Linked DNA regions of Saccharomyces cerevisiae S288C. The gene in region 1 interacts genetically with each later gene. Each region holds a gene or a part of one and is shown on either strand. Other genes may lie near its edges.

Region 1 (4,790 bases):
ATCTTCCATAAATGTGCTGAAGTTTTTCACTGTGAACTCGAATAAAGTTTTCGTTATAGCAATAGATAATATCGACGAGTGGTTAAACTTGCACATCAACATAGTTGAGTAAGAGGTGAAGAAAAGTACACCGCTTCCGGTATATATCGCCTCCTGATTAAGAGATCAATGGAGAGCACATTAATAAGTTTGTATTAAAGAATTAAGAACTAAAAATAGTGTATATGATGATTATATAAGAATTATTAAACTACCCCTATTGCTTTTAGAAAACCCTGTCTTGAATGAGAGGATGTTTTACACGCAACGCGTAAGAAACATCTTTAAAGAGACTAGACATGAAACGATACTGCTCAGGGCAATTTAGGGGCTTTCCCACAAAGATGGTGGTATAACGGGGCTAGTCTGTCAAAAAGCCTAGAAGTGAAAAACGAATAACAAAAAAATAACATAATACTGAAAGAAAGCATTAAGAAGGCGGATGTGTCAAACACCACCGTTTATAAGAATAACATAGCAACACCAGCCAAACCTAAAGCACCTGGAACGACGACGTTAGCACCGTTACTGTTGATGACAACGGAATGAGAAGAAGCAGAGGATGAAACTGGGACGACTGTGGAGACGGTTAGACTTGGGTTGGCTGTGGTTTGTTTGGTAGTAACACCTGTTTCTTTGGTGGTAGTGCCCTTAGATTCGGTAACTGGGACAGAAGACTCAGGGGCTTCGCTCTTTTCAATAGTACATGGACAGTCAGTGATAGTCAAAGTGGTTGGTTCAGTGACGGTGTAAGTCTTACCGTTTGTGGTGAAAGTGGTTGGTTCTGGACAGTAAGTAGTGTACTCAGTGACTACAGTGTATTCGGTGGTTGATGTGGTTGTTGGCTTTTCAATGGTGCATGGACAGTCAGTGATAGTCAATGTGGTTGGTTCAGTGACGGTGTAAGTCTTACCGTTTGTGGTGAAAGTGGTTGGTTCTGGACAGTAAGTAGTATATTCAGTGACTACAGTGTAGTCAGTGGTGTAGTCAGTAGATGGGTTGTAAGGAGGAGTGGTGGTAGTGTTGCTTGGTGGCAAAGATGTAGTTGGTGGGAAAGCTGAAGTGGTACCGTTGGTTGGAAGACCGGTGGTTGGAGCTTCAGTAGTAGTATCAGTTGGAGCTTCAGTAGAAGTACCGTTAGTTGGAAGAGCGGTGGTTGGAGCTTCAGTAGTAGTATCAGTTGGAGCTTCAGTAGAGGTACCGTTAGTTGGGATAGCAGTGGTTGGAGCTTCAGTAGAGGTACCGTTAGTTGGGATAGCAGTGGTTGGAGCCTCTGTTGAGGTTTCAGTTGGTGCAGCTGTGCTGGTACCGTTGTCGGATTCTGGAGCTTCAGAAGATGTGATAGTTACTGAGCCAGAGGAAGTGGAGATGGAAGAGGAGGAAGTGACATCGGTGGAAGAAGCAGATGTACTGTTGGAAAATTGGGCCAAAGTAGTCGAGGCTAAACCGGCAGATAATAGGACAGTTGATAATTTCATCTTAATAGAGCGAACGTATTTTATTTTGCTTGTCTTTGTAGTTACGACTATAAATCAATAATTACAAGAGAATAGAAAAAGAGAGGTGAGATAATACGATAATGGAGAATAAAATAGGTCAGGTATTTATATGACAGTTCAAAAGAGGGCAGAGCAATGTTCCTTACTCTAGTTCTACCCCAGCCCCTACGGCCAATCTAAAAATAATGCGACTGGGAGCCATACCGTACTAATTCATTTTACCGTAGTAAAATGGATGAAAAACTGCTTAAAGGCTTTTTGTCTTATTTTTAGAAATTAGTGGACAAAAAATCATTTTCAATCAAAAATACACAAGAATGGAAAGAGATGACATCGAGAAGGGATGGATCTTTAGCCAAATAAAGTAATCAATGACCGTGTGTGCTCTGGCGCGCTGGGCCCTCTCCTCTTTCGTAATGAAAATATAATAACAATAACGGTTCTGATGGCTAATTTTAGCGATATATGCCTTTTTGTCCTCGAAAGAAGGCCGCATGACGTGGAGCAATCAGTGGTGTATGGAAGGTAGACCTCGGGGCTAAGCTTTCTCGGGGAGACGGTGCCGTCTGGGAGATAATTCCAACCAATATTACTGCTTTAGGTCATCCACCACGGGTAGTGTTGAGGATTACCTTTTTCGGTCTACGCAATATTATCCATTGACAGTTTGGCGTACCGTACAAAAAGCCGCTGCTGCAGGTTGTACTTCAACTTTAAGTCGCCGCGTTGCAAGTACATTGTGAAAAGATACTGCCTTACGTTAATTTTCTATATCCAATTGGGGAATATGCATGTCCGAATCTGGCAGATGCATGGATCGTTGAATAGTATTTCCAATTCCGTGTAAGCTGTTGCTTACATTAATCCTATAAGGGTAATGGGTGTGCTTGAGGGGATGTGTACATACCACTTTAGGTTCGAGCTGCATACCCCAATATGGAAAAACGTATTCACCTTAACTCCAACAGATTAAAATCCTAAATAGGTAAAATTACCCTTAACTTTTCTTTGTAGTTGTTGGGTGGAATGTTGTCGTTTTTCCATTTTTTATTGTTTTCGGTTTTCGGTTTTTTTATTTTACTATTAACCTTCACTATCATAAATTATCTCCTCCTTTCCCTCCGCATTTGGTAATGGATTATCATTGGAGTCAATATTGTTAAACACTTGTGAGCAACTGCTGCTGCTTGTTGATAATGTTGGAAATGAGGCAATATTAGCAGTATCAGGTTTCAGATCAATTATATCGCGGAGTTGACCTGTTGCTTTATCAAAATCAAATTTGACAATATAGTTACGATCGTCGCTGCTTCTTGACCGCTTTAAATTTCGTCCTTCTCTTTTTCTATCTTCGCCGTGTAAATTAAAAACAATAGCTATTCTCAAGTTTTCAAAGTTTCGTTTGTTTATTCTCATTTCTTTGATGGTAGTACATCCCTCGTTACTCTGCGAGGATGACGCCTTCACTCTTTTGCTTTTCACGAAAACGGTTTCGTCCACTTGTTCATTCCAATCCCTAAAAAGGCCGATCCTGTCTCTTAGAAATACTTCCCAAGTGGAATCCTTGCTTCCCATAGCGATATTGGCAACGAGCGCGCTTTTCAATATATGTACATTGTTCTTACGCCTTTCGTTGTTAGAGTTGACAAAGAAGTTAGATCCGTCGTCTAAAATTTCGTAGTATTCTTCCAAGGATTCGAATTCGTTTGATTGGAAGGCGGTGTTCATACAGTCATTTAAAACTATTATTGTCGAACCCGTGGAATGTGTGTATTTGGTCATTACCGTAAAAATTAATATCAAATGTCGACATTTTAACTCGTGTATAGTTTTATCTATCATTCCGCCGCCTCTTTTACTTAGTGTACACAGATGATCGCAGACTAATTGAGAAAATCCATCAATTATAACTAGTTTATATCGCACACTTTGAGATAATTTGAACAAATTCTGGAAGAAATATAATAGCTGTCCAAATTTCGTTATTCGGACCCGCTTCACATTTTCTTCCACGATTTTAAATTTTTGAAAGCGTTCTCTTAGTATGTTTATGGGCATTTCTTGAAATGTTTCTATCCATAGAATTTTATCGTCGTTTATTTCCGATTGTTGTATGCCTTCTAACGAATTACACACCAATTGAATGCCAAAATTAGTCTTGCCAATGCCCGGAGGCCCAAATATTTCGTAGATCGACCTTGCCTGGAATCCCAGGTTTAATATCTCATCTAATCCTGTGATGCCGCTACTTAATGGCTTTGGACTTTCTACTATTAATTGGGAAAGTGGTATACCAAGCGACATATTTTCATATTATATATTATTAATAAGTTCTTTTCCTTATCTAAAAGCTTTCCTTAATGTACTTGACATCTTTGATAGCGGAGCTTATTATTAGTTAGTCATGCTACTATGTATTTTTTTCTATTTTTCATATCAAACGCGATGAGAAGAGAACACGTGAAGAACTTAGGGGACCTCCGCATCTATAACATATTCTACTGAAGAAAAAAAGGAATAAAAAATAAAAGAAGAAACGGTAGCTGGGTATATATTAGTATTCAAAAGCCATATTGTTAATTAGCTAAGATGTGAAAAGAAGTATGTAATATTACAATTTTTTTTCCTTTATTGCATTATGAAGAAAAAAAGAAAAATGCACTTGACAATTAGAGTGCCTGTTAAAAATTTATAAGAAATAGTCCATTTGAGATTTTTTGGTTGGAATTATAGCATTTCCGACTTCATTTTGTGCCTGAACAGCTTCAAAAATTGTATATTCACGATTCAAATCGTCGTCTATCTTCAATACAGCTGCTACATTACCACAACGATAACAGTAATTCGGTGCCGACCAGACTGTCACTAATCCACCGTCGAACATTTCTTTGTAACCTTCCATCACTAACTGATGAGCTCTAGCAATTAACTCAACGTTGTTTTTCTCTAAGAATTGATCAACTTCTCTTTTACCGAAAAGAAATCCAGCACCTCTTGGTGATAATGACCATGTGTCAACGTCTTCGGGGTCGCTCCATAATAAGTCACACATAGCACCTTCATGTGGAACTTCTTGTTTCCTGTCTATTGTTCGTATTTCATCAACCGTGGTCATATCCGGAGATAATCCACCATGAACACAGAATATGCTATTGTTTATTATTGCCCCCAATGATAAATAATCAAAAACTTCACAGCAGTACCTCCATACGTTACTATTACCATATTTTCTTACTACTTCATCGTAAAATC
Region 2 (5,198 bases), on another chromosome or scaffold:
GGTAGTAACAGTCAATTACAAATCTATGACATGACATCTACCAATGATGTCGAGTTTAAAAAGAAGATTTATTTGGTTCTGAAAAGTTCATTATCAGGTGACGAAGCGGCTCACAAATTGCTAAAATTAAAGATTGCGAACAATTTGAAAAAAAGCGTGGTAGATATAATCATCAAATCTAGTTTGCAGGAATCTACATTCTCTAAATTTTATTCTATTTTGTCCGAACGTATGATAACGTTCCACAGGAGTTGGCAGACAGCTTACAATGAAACTTTTGAGCAGAATTATACACAAGATATCGAAGATTATGAAACTGACCAACTGCGAATCTTAGGTAAGTTTTGGGGACACTTAATATCTTATGAATTTCTTCCAATGGACTGTCTTAAGATAATTAAGTTAACTGAGGAAGAATCGTGTCCTCAAGGAAGAATTTTCATCAAATTTTTATTTCAAGAGCTCGTAAATGAGCTCGGATTAGATGAGCTGCAATTAAGGCTAAACTCCAGCAAGCTTGACGGAATGTTTCCGCTGGAAGGAGACGCCGAACATATAAGATACTCCATAAATTTCTTTACTGCCATAGGATTGGGCCTGCTCACAGAGGACATGAGAAGCCGGTTGACAATTATTCAAGAAGTTGAGGATGCAGAGGAAGAAGAAAAAAAATTGAGAGAAGAGGAGGAACTTGAAAAGTTACGGAAGAAGGCCAGAGAGTCACAACCAACCCAAGGGCCAAAAATTCACGAATCCAGGTTATTTTTACAGAAGGACACCAGAGAAAATAGTAGATCAAGATCGCCATTCACAGTGGAAACAAGAAAACGTGCTAGATCCAGAACTCCACCAAGAGGATCGAGAAACCATCGTAACAGATCCAGGACTCCGCCTGCAAGAAGGCAACGGCATAGATGAAGAGCCCGGCCAAACAAACATTACACATGTAATCGTACATATTTACATAGAACCGTACACGCTTTTAGCCAAAAAAAAAAGAAAGGTAGAATATAAAATAAAAACTCGTATTTCGTATTAAGACAAATATACAGAAATACAAATGAGATCATAAACGAACTAAAATAGGAAAATGAAAAAAAAAAAAAAAGATTAGCGAAGGCAAACCAGAAAGCAGTCCTTTGATATAACAGAGAAAAAGAAGATTATCAAAGCCTTAATTTAAAGTTAAAAATATTGGGTATCGTTTTTTAAATCAAGATTTTTTTTGTTTTTTTTTACAATTGAGTAGACTTATTCATTGGATAGAATACCCCAGTATTTTTCAACACCGTAAGCACCGTCGGCCTTCCAGTAGTCGTTGAAGGCAGTGAATAAGAAGGTATCAGCACCACAGGAGCTGGTAATGGCGGAAACAGCGTCCTTTTGATTTTCCTTAGATGGAACAGCAACACCGTAAGTCTCACCCTTTGATGGCCAACCAGACTCAGTGATAACAACATTCTTCTTACCATCACAAGCAGTCCAGACTCTTTGGATTTGTTCTAGTAACCATTTACCGGAGTCTTGGGCAACTGTGTTCTTGTCAAAGTAAGCATGGGCATTAACAGCCATGTAGTCGGAGTAGTCACACAATTCAGGGTTGTTGATCACAGCAATAAAAGTATCAACAGAAACAACTGGACCAGTGTAACCGGCAGCCTTCAAGGCAGATCTACCAGAGTCAATGTATTGACCGACTTGGGATGGGGTAGCTTGGTTACCGTTAACCAATTCGTTACCAATGGAAACAGTGGTGACATCGTCCCAAGAACCGTAAGATTCAACAGCAGACTTGATGGTGTTGACACCGTCTTGGATTTGGTCAACGTAGTAAATACCTAAAAAGACTTTTTGGTTCGAAGCCTTAGCCTTGAAAACATTTTCAACTTGGTTACAGTCGGTACCGTACAATCTAATGACTGGGAAGTCAGTCAATTGAGCTAAATCGGAAGCAACTTCCGAAGCGGATTTACAAGCACCGCTGGACTCGTATGGGGTATAAGTGATACCTCTGACACCAGAGGCAAAGCTGCTGACGTCTTCGCCGGAAGAACTAGAGGAAGAAGCTTGGGAGGAAGAGGAAGATTGAGTAGATGTAGCAGCAGAGCTGGAGGCTGGAGATGCGGCAGCAGAAACTTGTGAGTTGTTCTCAGAAGAGGAAGCAGCAGCGGTAGCTACAGAAGCAGCAGACGATGTTGTACTGGTAGCGGCAGCTGGAGCGGAGTTGACAACAGCATTTTCTTCCAAAGCAGCAACTGGAGTTGAAGCGGCACCATTAACAATGATAGTGGTTTGTTTTTGAACAGTGGTAGTGACCACAGCACGCTTGTCCTTGTGTTCGTGGTTAGCGGGAGCAGCAAGAGTAGCAGCAGATAAAAGAGAGGCAGAAGCAATTAGGTTAGAGAGACGCATATTTTTCTAGTTTGCTTTTCGGTATGGCTTGCTAGTATATAAACGATTGTAGATGTAAAAGAATGACTTAGTTGGATTTAGTTAGATATCTAGCTGGACCTTTGTGTAAACACTATTAAAAGAATAGAATAAGGGCTAAAAGAACTACTAAACAGAAAACAATTATGACAGAAGATAAAGAATACATATCTATTAGTTTTATAAAACAGAGATCTTCTCCTCGAGGAATGGGAGAAAACAGAAAAAAAAAAACAAAAACAACGGTGCCGTTTTTGAAACAACACCACAAGAGAAAATTTCTGAAAAAAATGCGCGTGAAAAGGAATCATGTGCCTATTTTCCTCATTTGGAGAGGCTAAACGAAAAGGGAAAAGAGGTGCGTTGCGCGTGTTTCTAGGGAGAAGATCCTATTGCAGCAGGGTGTCGCGCGAAAAGCGGTGCCTACAAATTACAAAACCCTCTGGGAAATGACCGTGCAGGGTCGTTTGTGGATGCATCTCGATTAGGCCGGGCTAGGCATCTTGATTCTTTCCCAAAATGGAGTTAACGAGCTCGATTGGGCGTTAATTGATGGATTTGGTTACACTGATACGAATTGAGCCCGTTTATCATTCATGCAGCGGCTTTATGGAGGGTGTGGAAGACGTTAGCGATGTTATGCTTTCCACTTGCTCTACTATCTTCCATCAAACCCACCTAATAAAGCTGAAGGTTTTGCAGGGGCAGAAGTCGTGGCGCAATAAGTTCAATAAATACTTATAATATTACTTACTAGTTTAATCATGTATGTAAAAACTCGTTGCGGTATGCTGTCGTACTGGCACACATTTTTTTTTTTCATTTTTATTTGCTTTTTTCTTTGGCACCGGGGAAGAATTTTTCCCCACTCTATATATCTTGCTGCGTGTGCAGACTGGCCAGCTGCTCACACAATGAAACGCAATGGAATGTTTAGTCGTTTGTTATCATAAAGATCTCATTCAGTGCCTTGGAGTCCATCAACGCGGCCCTCTTTTGTTTTATCCATTTGGAGCGCACCGATAGTCTTGTGTTTACCGCATCGGGGATATTGGATGCAGATTCACTAGATTTTAATTTTGACGTCTTTTTCGTTTCTTTGGTCTTTTCCGCCCTTTTTTCCTTCTTCAATCTCTTCTCTTCCTTTTTATGTTTCTTATGCTCCTTTTTGTCCTTCTTGTCTTTTTTCTTGTCTTTCTTATGCTTTTTGTGCTTCTTGTGCTTCTTTTTATCACTGTCTTTATCCTCTTTGTCGTCATCATCTTCATCTTCGCTATCGTCTCCTTCCCTCTTTCGTTTCTTCGCGTTGGAGTAATTTCTTAACTTGTGAGTCTTTGGATCCCACGTGCTTGCTAAAACTTCACCCTTCACAAAATGGATACCCCATTTTCCGTCAATAATCTTCTGCTTTCTCTGCGTGTCCAATTCCTCTGATATTTTGCTTTCCTTTCCGTTCAGCCTACCAAGAATTCGCTGGAAGACATCCAACCCTGCGCATTCACCATTATCAAACTCGTCTTTTTTGTCTTTACGTTTTAATTTAGCACCGAGCCCAACGTTGTCGTCCTTAATTGACACTTTGATATGCGAAGTGTTCGAATTCATGGGGGATAACCCCAGACCCATACCGGGTTTCCATCCAAACTTTTCTAGAAATTGGTGCCCGAATCTCGAGGTGTCGTTACTCCATGCCGTATTTCTGGGGTCTAAACCAAACCGCTGTTTGGTTCTTGTAGCTGCCAAACCCATTCTGCTTCTTTGTTTAATGGTGTAAGCTGCCTATATGTTACTATTGAGTACTCATCTCATCGCTTCTTTCAGAACAAAATTTTTCATATTTTTTTTTTTTCCTTTTCTTTTTTTTTTTTTCTTTGACTGTTACCCGGTTGTTTATATTTGTAGGAAAACAACAACGACAGAGAAAATATCCTTGCAGTGGCGGCTAATTTGTTAGTTGACTGATTGATCACCTTCACTTATTAAAGTAAAATCAGCATACAAGAGATCAGAAGGGAGAAAGAGAGTGGGCAAGGCTATAGTACTTTGAAGAAAGCATCTTTGAACCGACCAGTTCTCTTCACAAGCAAAATCTATATGACTAACCGCAAGGGGCAAAGGGTTGTGAGAGGGCCCGTCTTTCTCCCGCTATAGCCGTCACTGGTATCCCTCCTGGCTGCACAAATCCGATAGAAAGGGGAAGAAGGAAGTTTAGTGCCACCTTATAGCACGCAGTTACTGTTTACGCTAAGGAGAGGCATACTCAATTTTTATTAGTCGCCTTCTTTAGTTGCTGCGTTTTTATCCACGGTTCTCTACTAAATGCTTGCGATAAGCGCTTCTATTTTCCTCCCCACCGCGAGGCGGAAATGGCACATTTTTTTTCTTTTGCTTCTGTGCTTTTGTTGTAATTTTTGGCATGTGCTATTGTATGAAGATAACGCGTGGTTCCGTGGAAATAGCCGGAAATTTTGCCGGGAATATGACGGACATGATTTAACACCCGTGGAAATGAAAAAAGCCAAGGTAAGAAAGTGGCAATATTTTTCCTACAAATAGATCTGCTGTCCCTTAAATGATTACCATACATATATATATTTATTACACATCTGTCAGAGGTAGCTAGCGAAGGTGTCACTGAAATATTTTTTGTTCCAGTTAGTATAAATACGGAGGTAGAACAGCTCTCCGCGTGTATATCTTTTTTTGCGCTATACAAGAACAGGAAGAACGCATTTCCATACCTTTTTCTCCTTACAGGTGCCCTCTGA
Region 3 (5,550 bases), on another chromosome or scaffold:
TCTAAAGAATTAGGCGAGTATCATCTTACAGTAAAGGACAATTTTGGTCACTACTTCAAAAATCCGGAATATGAAACCATGGAAGTAGCACCAGGAAGTGACTGCTCTAAAACAAGTCATTTATCACTTCAAATCCCGGATAAAGAAGTTTGGAAGGCTCGTGATGTTTTCCAATCTCTAGTTAGCGATTCGATACGTGATATACTGGAAAAGGAAGAGACAAAGCAGCGTCCTGCTGATTTAATACCAAGTGTTTTAACTATTAGAAATTTGTACAATTTTAATCCTGGTAATTTTCATTATATACAAAAGACATTTGATTTGACCAAAAAAGATGGGTTCCAATTTGATATCACTTACAATAAACTTGGCACTACTCAAAGTATTTCCACCAGGGAACAAGTTACGGAGTTGATTACTTGGTCACTAAATGAGATAAACGCGCGTTTTGATAAGCAGTTTAGTTTTGGAGAAGGTCCCGACTCAATTGAAAGCGTGGAGGTCAAAAGAAGATTTGCTTTAGAGACGCTATCAAACCTATTAGGAGGAATCGGTTATTTCTATGGGAATCAACTAATTGATCGTGAAACAGAATTTGATGAGAGCCAGTTTACAGAGATCAAACTGCTGAATGCAAAAGAGGAAGGTCCATTTGAACTGTTTACCAGCGTTCCGAGCCGTGGCTTTTTCCCACGTGGATTCTATTGGGATGAAGGTTTCCATCTTCTACAAATTATGGAGTATGATTTTGACCTTGCCTTTGAAATCTTAGCGAGCTGGTTTGAAATGATCGAAGATGATAGTGGTTGGATTGCTAGAGAAATTATACTGGGTAATGAGGCAAGGAGTAAAGTTCCGCAGGAATTTCAGGTGCAAAATCCCAATATTGCTAATCCGCCAACTTTATTGCTAGCATTTAGTGAAATGCTTTCTAGGGCCATTGAAAACATCGGCGATTTCAACAGTGACAGCTACCACCAAGTCATGTTCAATAGTAGGACAGCCAAGTTTATGACGAACAATCTAGAAGCCAATCCTGGCTTGCTAACCGAATATGCCAAGAAAATTTATCCTAAGCTATTGAAGCACTATAATTGGTTCAGAAAATCTCAAACAGGACTTATTGATGAATATGAGGAAATATTGGAAGATGAAGGAATATGGGATAAGATTCATAAGAACGAAGTTTATAGATGGGTTGGGCGTACCTTCACTCATTGTTTGCCAAGCGGTATGGATGACTATCCTAGAGCACAACCACCAGATGTAGCAGAATTGAACGTAGACGCATTAGCATGGGTGGGCGTTATGACAAGATCCATGAAGCAAATTGCTCACGTGTTGAAGTTAACACAGGACGAGCAAAGATATGCACAAATTGAGCAAGAGGTGGTCGAGAATCTGGATTTGTTACACTGGAGTGAAAATGACAATTGCTACTGTGATATTAGCATCGATCCAGAAGACGATGAGATTAGGGAGTTTGTATGTCATGAGGGTTACGTCTCCGTATTGCCCTTTGCATTGAAGCTAATCCCCAAAAACTCACCCAAGCTAGAGAAAGTAGTTGCTTTGATGAGTGACCCAGAAAAAATCTTTTCAGACTACGGGCTGTTATCACTATCGAGACAAGACGACTATTTCGGCAAGGATGAAAACTATTGGAGAGGCCCAATTTGGATGAATATTAATTACTTGTGTCTTGACGCAATGAGATACTACTACCCAGAGGTGATTCTCGACGTGGCTGGTGAGGCTAGCAATGCCAAGAAACTGTACCAAAGTTTAAAGATTAATCTCAGTAACAACATATACAAAGTTTGGGAAGAACAAGGTTATTGTTATGAAAATTACAGTCCGATAGATGGTCATGGTACTGGTGCTGAGCATTTCACAGGCTGGACAGCACTTGTTGTCAACATCCTTGGACGCTTCTGAATCTATGTAGATATTTTCAGTCATATAAACAGATATGTAACCAGATATGTACCAGTATGCAGGATGAAAATTATAAATGTTCCAGCTATTCGAAAAGGGCCTCGCATCTCTTAGTTAGAGCCAGCATTTTCAGCTTTTTTTTTCTCGCGTTTATTTACATTTCGATGCGGCTGTGAGAAAAAGTTAAAAAATCGTGGAAACCAGCAACTGGTAACTAGCAGTCTGGGCCATTGCAGCTAAAAGCCAGACAAATAAACAATCGAAAACACACTCGAAACATGCATTATGAAATGTCACATTTTTTTTTTTCTTTTGGGGATTAATGGTTGCGAAGTGAGGTCTTTTCTATTTACTGCGGTAAGATGAATAAAAGTTAGGGAATGTTATTGTTTACAAGCTGGATACTAGATCTCAAAATGTTAAAGTGTAAGGACTGACAACAAAATATGCTGCACCGAAAACAAATTAAGAATCTGAGGAGGGACTATTTAAGTGGAAAGAAAATTGAAGTTCAATGATCGTGTTTTCCTTCTGCTTATCCAAATACACTGTTATATATTAAGGCAACAGTACTATAATCGTCAGTTACGCAACAAAGACAGTCCACTCTTTTAGAAGAATAAGCCTTTACTGACATACCTCCACTGTAATAAATCTATTCTATTCTCTGTACTGTTTATCGACTTATTATTACGCTACACTCATTGATATAATATCTAATAGAAAACCATCATGATTTCACCCATAAGCTTTCTATCATCGCTGCTATGCTTAACTTATCTAACCTCAGCTTTACCGATTCTTCCTAAGAGAGAAGTTGTAACGAGAGTTCACACAGCAAGCACAACTAATGTTGTGACTGATTTTTACTCCACTACTACCGAAGTTGTTATTGCCCCAACTGTCGAATTCCTAATAAGCGATAGTGTTACCTTTACAACAACCTTAATTCCACAAGGTGTGAACCCAACAGCTGAACCAACTACGACTATCACTAAAGTTCTCTTAAAAAAGGCTGAAATGAGTACATCTTCGCAGCCAACCTCTACTTTGCAGCCAAGCACTATTCCACAATCAACCTCCTCTTTTCAAGCAGAATCTACTTTGCAAGCCGTCTCTACGCAACAAACTGCTATGTCTGTTTCTGCAGGTACTAGTGAGGATGTGCAACAATTAGCTACTACTTCTACCTCTATCTCCTCCTCTCCTTCCCCTACCACTACGTCTACTTCCACACAAAATATCGTGAGTGGTGTCGGTGAAGCCAATGTTGAAGGCAACACTCAAAGTCAGCATCATTCTTACCAAGCAGCTGCGACTTCAACTTTGAATCAACAAACGAGTACCTCAATTGCTTCTCAGGAGTCCACCGAATCAACCAATACACCTACGTCGTCCTCTACGTCGTCCTCTACTTCTTCTTCTACTTCTTCTTCTACTTCTTCCTCTACTTCTTCTTCTACTTCTTCCTCTACTTCGTCCTCTACTTCGTCCTCTACTTCATCCACACAGGAAACAGCCGCTACCACCTCTGAAGGTTCCTCTAGTAGCAGCGCTGCTATAACTTCTTCTCCAAAGGCTATTGCATATTCACCATATAATGATGATGGCTCTTGTAAGTCTGCAGACGCTGTCTCTTCTGACTTAACGTTGATCAAATCTAAAGGTATTTCCAAAATCCGTGTTTATGGCACCGACTGTAATTCCTTTGAAACCGTCCAACCAGCAGCCGTAAAACTAGGTATTAAGATTAACCAAGGTTTGTATATCACCAGTAGCGGCGTTGATTCCATAGATGATTCTGTTACCACATTGATTCAATATGGTCAAACTAACGGTTGGGATGTCTTTGATTTCATTACTGTTGGAAATGAAGCTATCAATAATGGTTGGTGTTCAGTTTCTGATTTGATTAGTAAAATTTCCTCTGTCAAATCCAAATTAAGCGAAGCTGGCTATTCTGGCCAAATTACTACCAGTGAGCCCCCTGTCTCATTTGAAAATAACCCTGATTTGTGCAAAAAATCTGATATTGACTTCGTTGGTATCAACCCACATGCCTACTTTGATACTAGCGCCAGTGCTGAAACTGCCGGTACATTTGTTAAGGGTCAAGTTGAATTAATTCAAGGTGTTTGTGGTACTTCTAATGTTTTCGTCACGGAAACAGGTTACCCATCGTCTGGTATTCAAAATGGAGGCAACATTCCATCCACTGCTAACCAAATTACTGCAGTCCAAAACATCTTGAATGAAATGGACTTGGATGTTACAATCTTATCGACTTACAATGATTACTGGAAGGCTCCCGGTGATTACGGTATCGAACAATCTTTCGGTGTGATTGAATATTTTCCATAAGTTTTCTAAATCGAATAGAGAAACATGCATATAAAAGATCAGAAAACAGTAATTAGATCTTTTCCATTACGACATTAACGATATAGATGTTTTACAAATTTGCGGTTCTAATTTCTAACTACAAATACACCAGGGTATAGGTTAAAGATAAAATAAAGAAGACAGGAAGCAAGAATGTAAGTTTGGCATTGAAATGTGCACGAGTACTTCTTACTCTTCTTATATACGGGATTATTCAGTTCATTTACATATCTACATTATCATTTCACTTTGTATATTATAACATTCAGGTAATTATCAATTTTTAATTTTTAGAATGGTTGTTAAAATTTCATACTTATTCAAGTCAAGGAATAAATTAAAATAAATACTCCTATTATTTGGCCCGATTAGTGTCAGTTCAAACGTTATTTGATTTTATCCTTACGCTTTATGTGGTTTGTACGTGTTGATGATTTTCCTATAAAATATATGCGGATTTAGCTCAGTTGGGAGAGCGCCAGACTGAAGAAAAAACTTCGGTCAAGTTATCTGGAGGTCCTGTGTTCGATCCACAGAATTCGCATAATAAGCCATACGGGCTTCAAAAAATTTTTAGTTTTTTCCAGTTTTTAGTGAATAATAACTGTCTAGGGATGCCCTTATTTTCTCCTTGTCAGGACTTAATAATGAGTCCGCACCTCTTTTTCTTCTTAAAGAGATATTTCTTAAATAAAATTACTATACAATTACTGCTAAGATATTAACCATTGTAGGTTATTGACCTGTGTATCTATGAGCCTTCTATAATGCTTTATACCATTGTGCTTATCCATATGAATTTATTTTTTTTTTTTTTTGAGAAAGAATTTCGATCTAACGTTCTTTTAAAGCCTTGTTCCTTTTCTCTCTTCTTCTCATTCTTTCAACCTTCTTAGCATGCATCTTAGCAGCCAAACGTTCGTATCTTTCATTCTCTTCCTTCTTCTCTCTTCTTTCCTTTAACATGGTTATTTTAGCTTGACGAGCTTCTTCCTTCTCATCCTTCAAAGCCTTCAATCTTTCTTTGAACTGTTTATCTTCGAGTCTTTTTTGTTTTTTCAACTCCCATGATGTTAACTTCTTGTTCTTAACGACTCTGCTTTTGGCCCTCAGCGGTGTCTTTTCTGCCTTCCATACCTTCCCACTAACTGGAGTGCCTTTTGCCGCTTTTTGACTTTCTCCTGTTTCATTCACCATATTTCCTGGTTATGTTTTATTTTGCTTTCAATG

The links. Genes that interact genetically often act in the same process or in processes that back each other up.
Region 2: of SED1 (region 1) and SCW4, changing one enhances a phenotype caused by changing the other (phenotypic enhancement), as found in Saccharomyces cerevisiae (one study listed by BioGRID).
Region 3: of SED1 (region 1) and SCW11, changing one enhances a phenotype caused by changing the other (phenotypic enhancement), as found in Saccharomyces cerevisiae (one study listed by BioGRID).

What each region holds. Positions count from the first base shown.
Region 1 is NC_001136.10:597,520-602,309, reverse strand, and holds SED1 (Sed1p), read right to left. Parts: upstream 1,518-4,790; coding exon 501-1,517; downstream 1-500. Other genes in the region: SHU2 (Shu2p), read left to right, coding at 1-112; putative DNA-dependent ATPase RAD55, read right to left, coding at 2,622-3,842; phosphoprotein phosphatase PP4 catalytic subunit PPH3, read right to left, coding at 4,228-4,790. UniProt on the Saccharomyces cerevisiae protein: Component of the cell wall. Major cell wall protein in stationary phase cells. Required to stabilize the cell wall in the absence of multiple GPI-anchored mannoproteins.
Region 2 is NC_001139.9:1,047,547-1,052,744, forward strand, and holds SCW4 (putative family 17 glucosidase), read right to left. Parts: upstream 2,413-5,198; coding exon 1,252-2,412; downstream 1-1,251. Other genes in the region: U2-type spliceosomal complex subunit CWC22, read left to right, coding at 1-918; PXR1 (telomerase inhibitor), read right to left, coding at 3,364-4,179. UniProt on the Saccharomyces cerevisiae protein: Glucanases possibly play a role in cell expansion during growth, in cell-cell fusion during mating, and in spore release during sporulation.
Region 3 is NC_001139.9:440,030-445,579, reverse strand, and holds SCW11 (putative glucan endo-1,3-beta-D-glucosidase), read left to right. Parts: upstream 1-2,670; coding exon 2,671-4,299; downstream 4,300-5,550. Other genes in the region: CWH41 (mannosyl-oligosaccharide glucosidase), read left to right, coding at 1-1,938; CGR1 (Cgr1p), read right to left, coding at 5,155-5,517.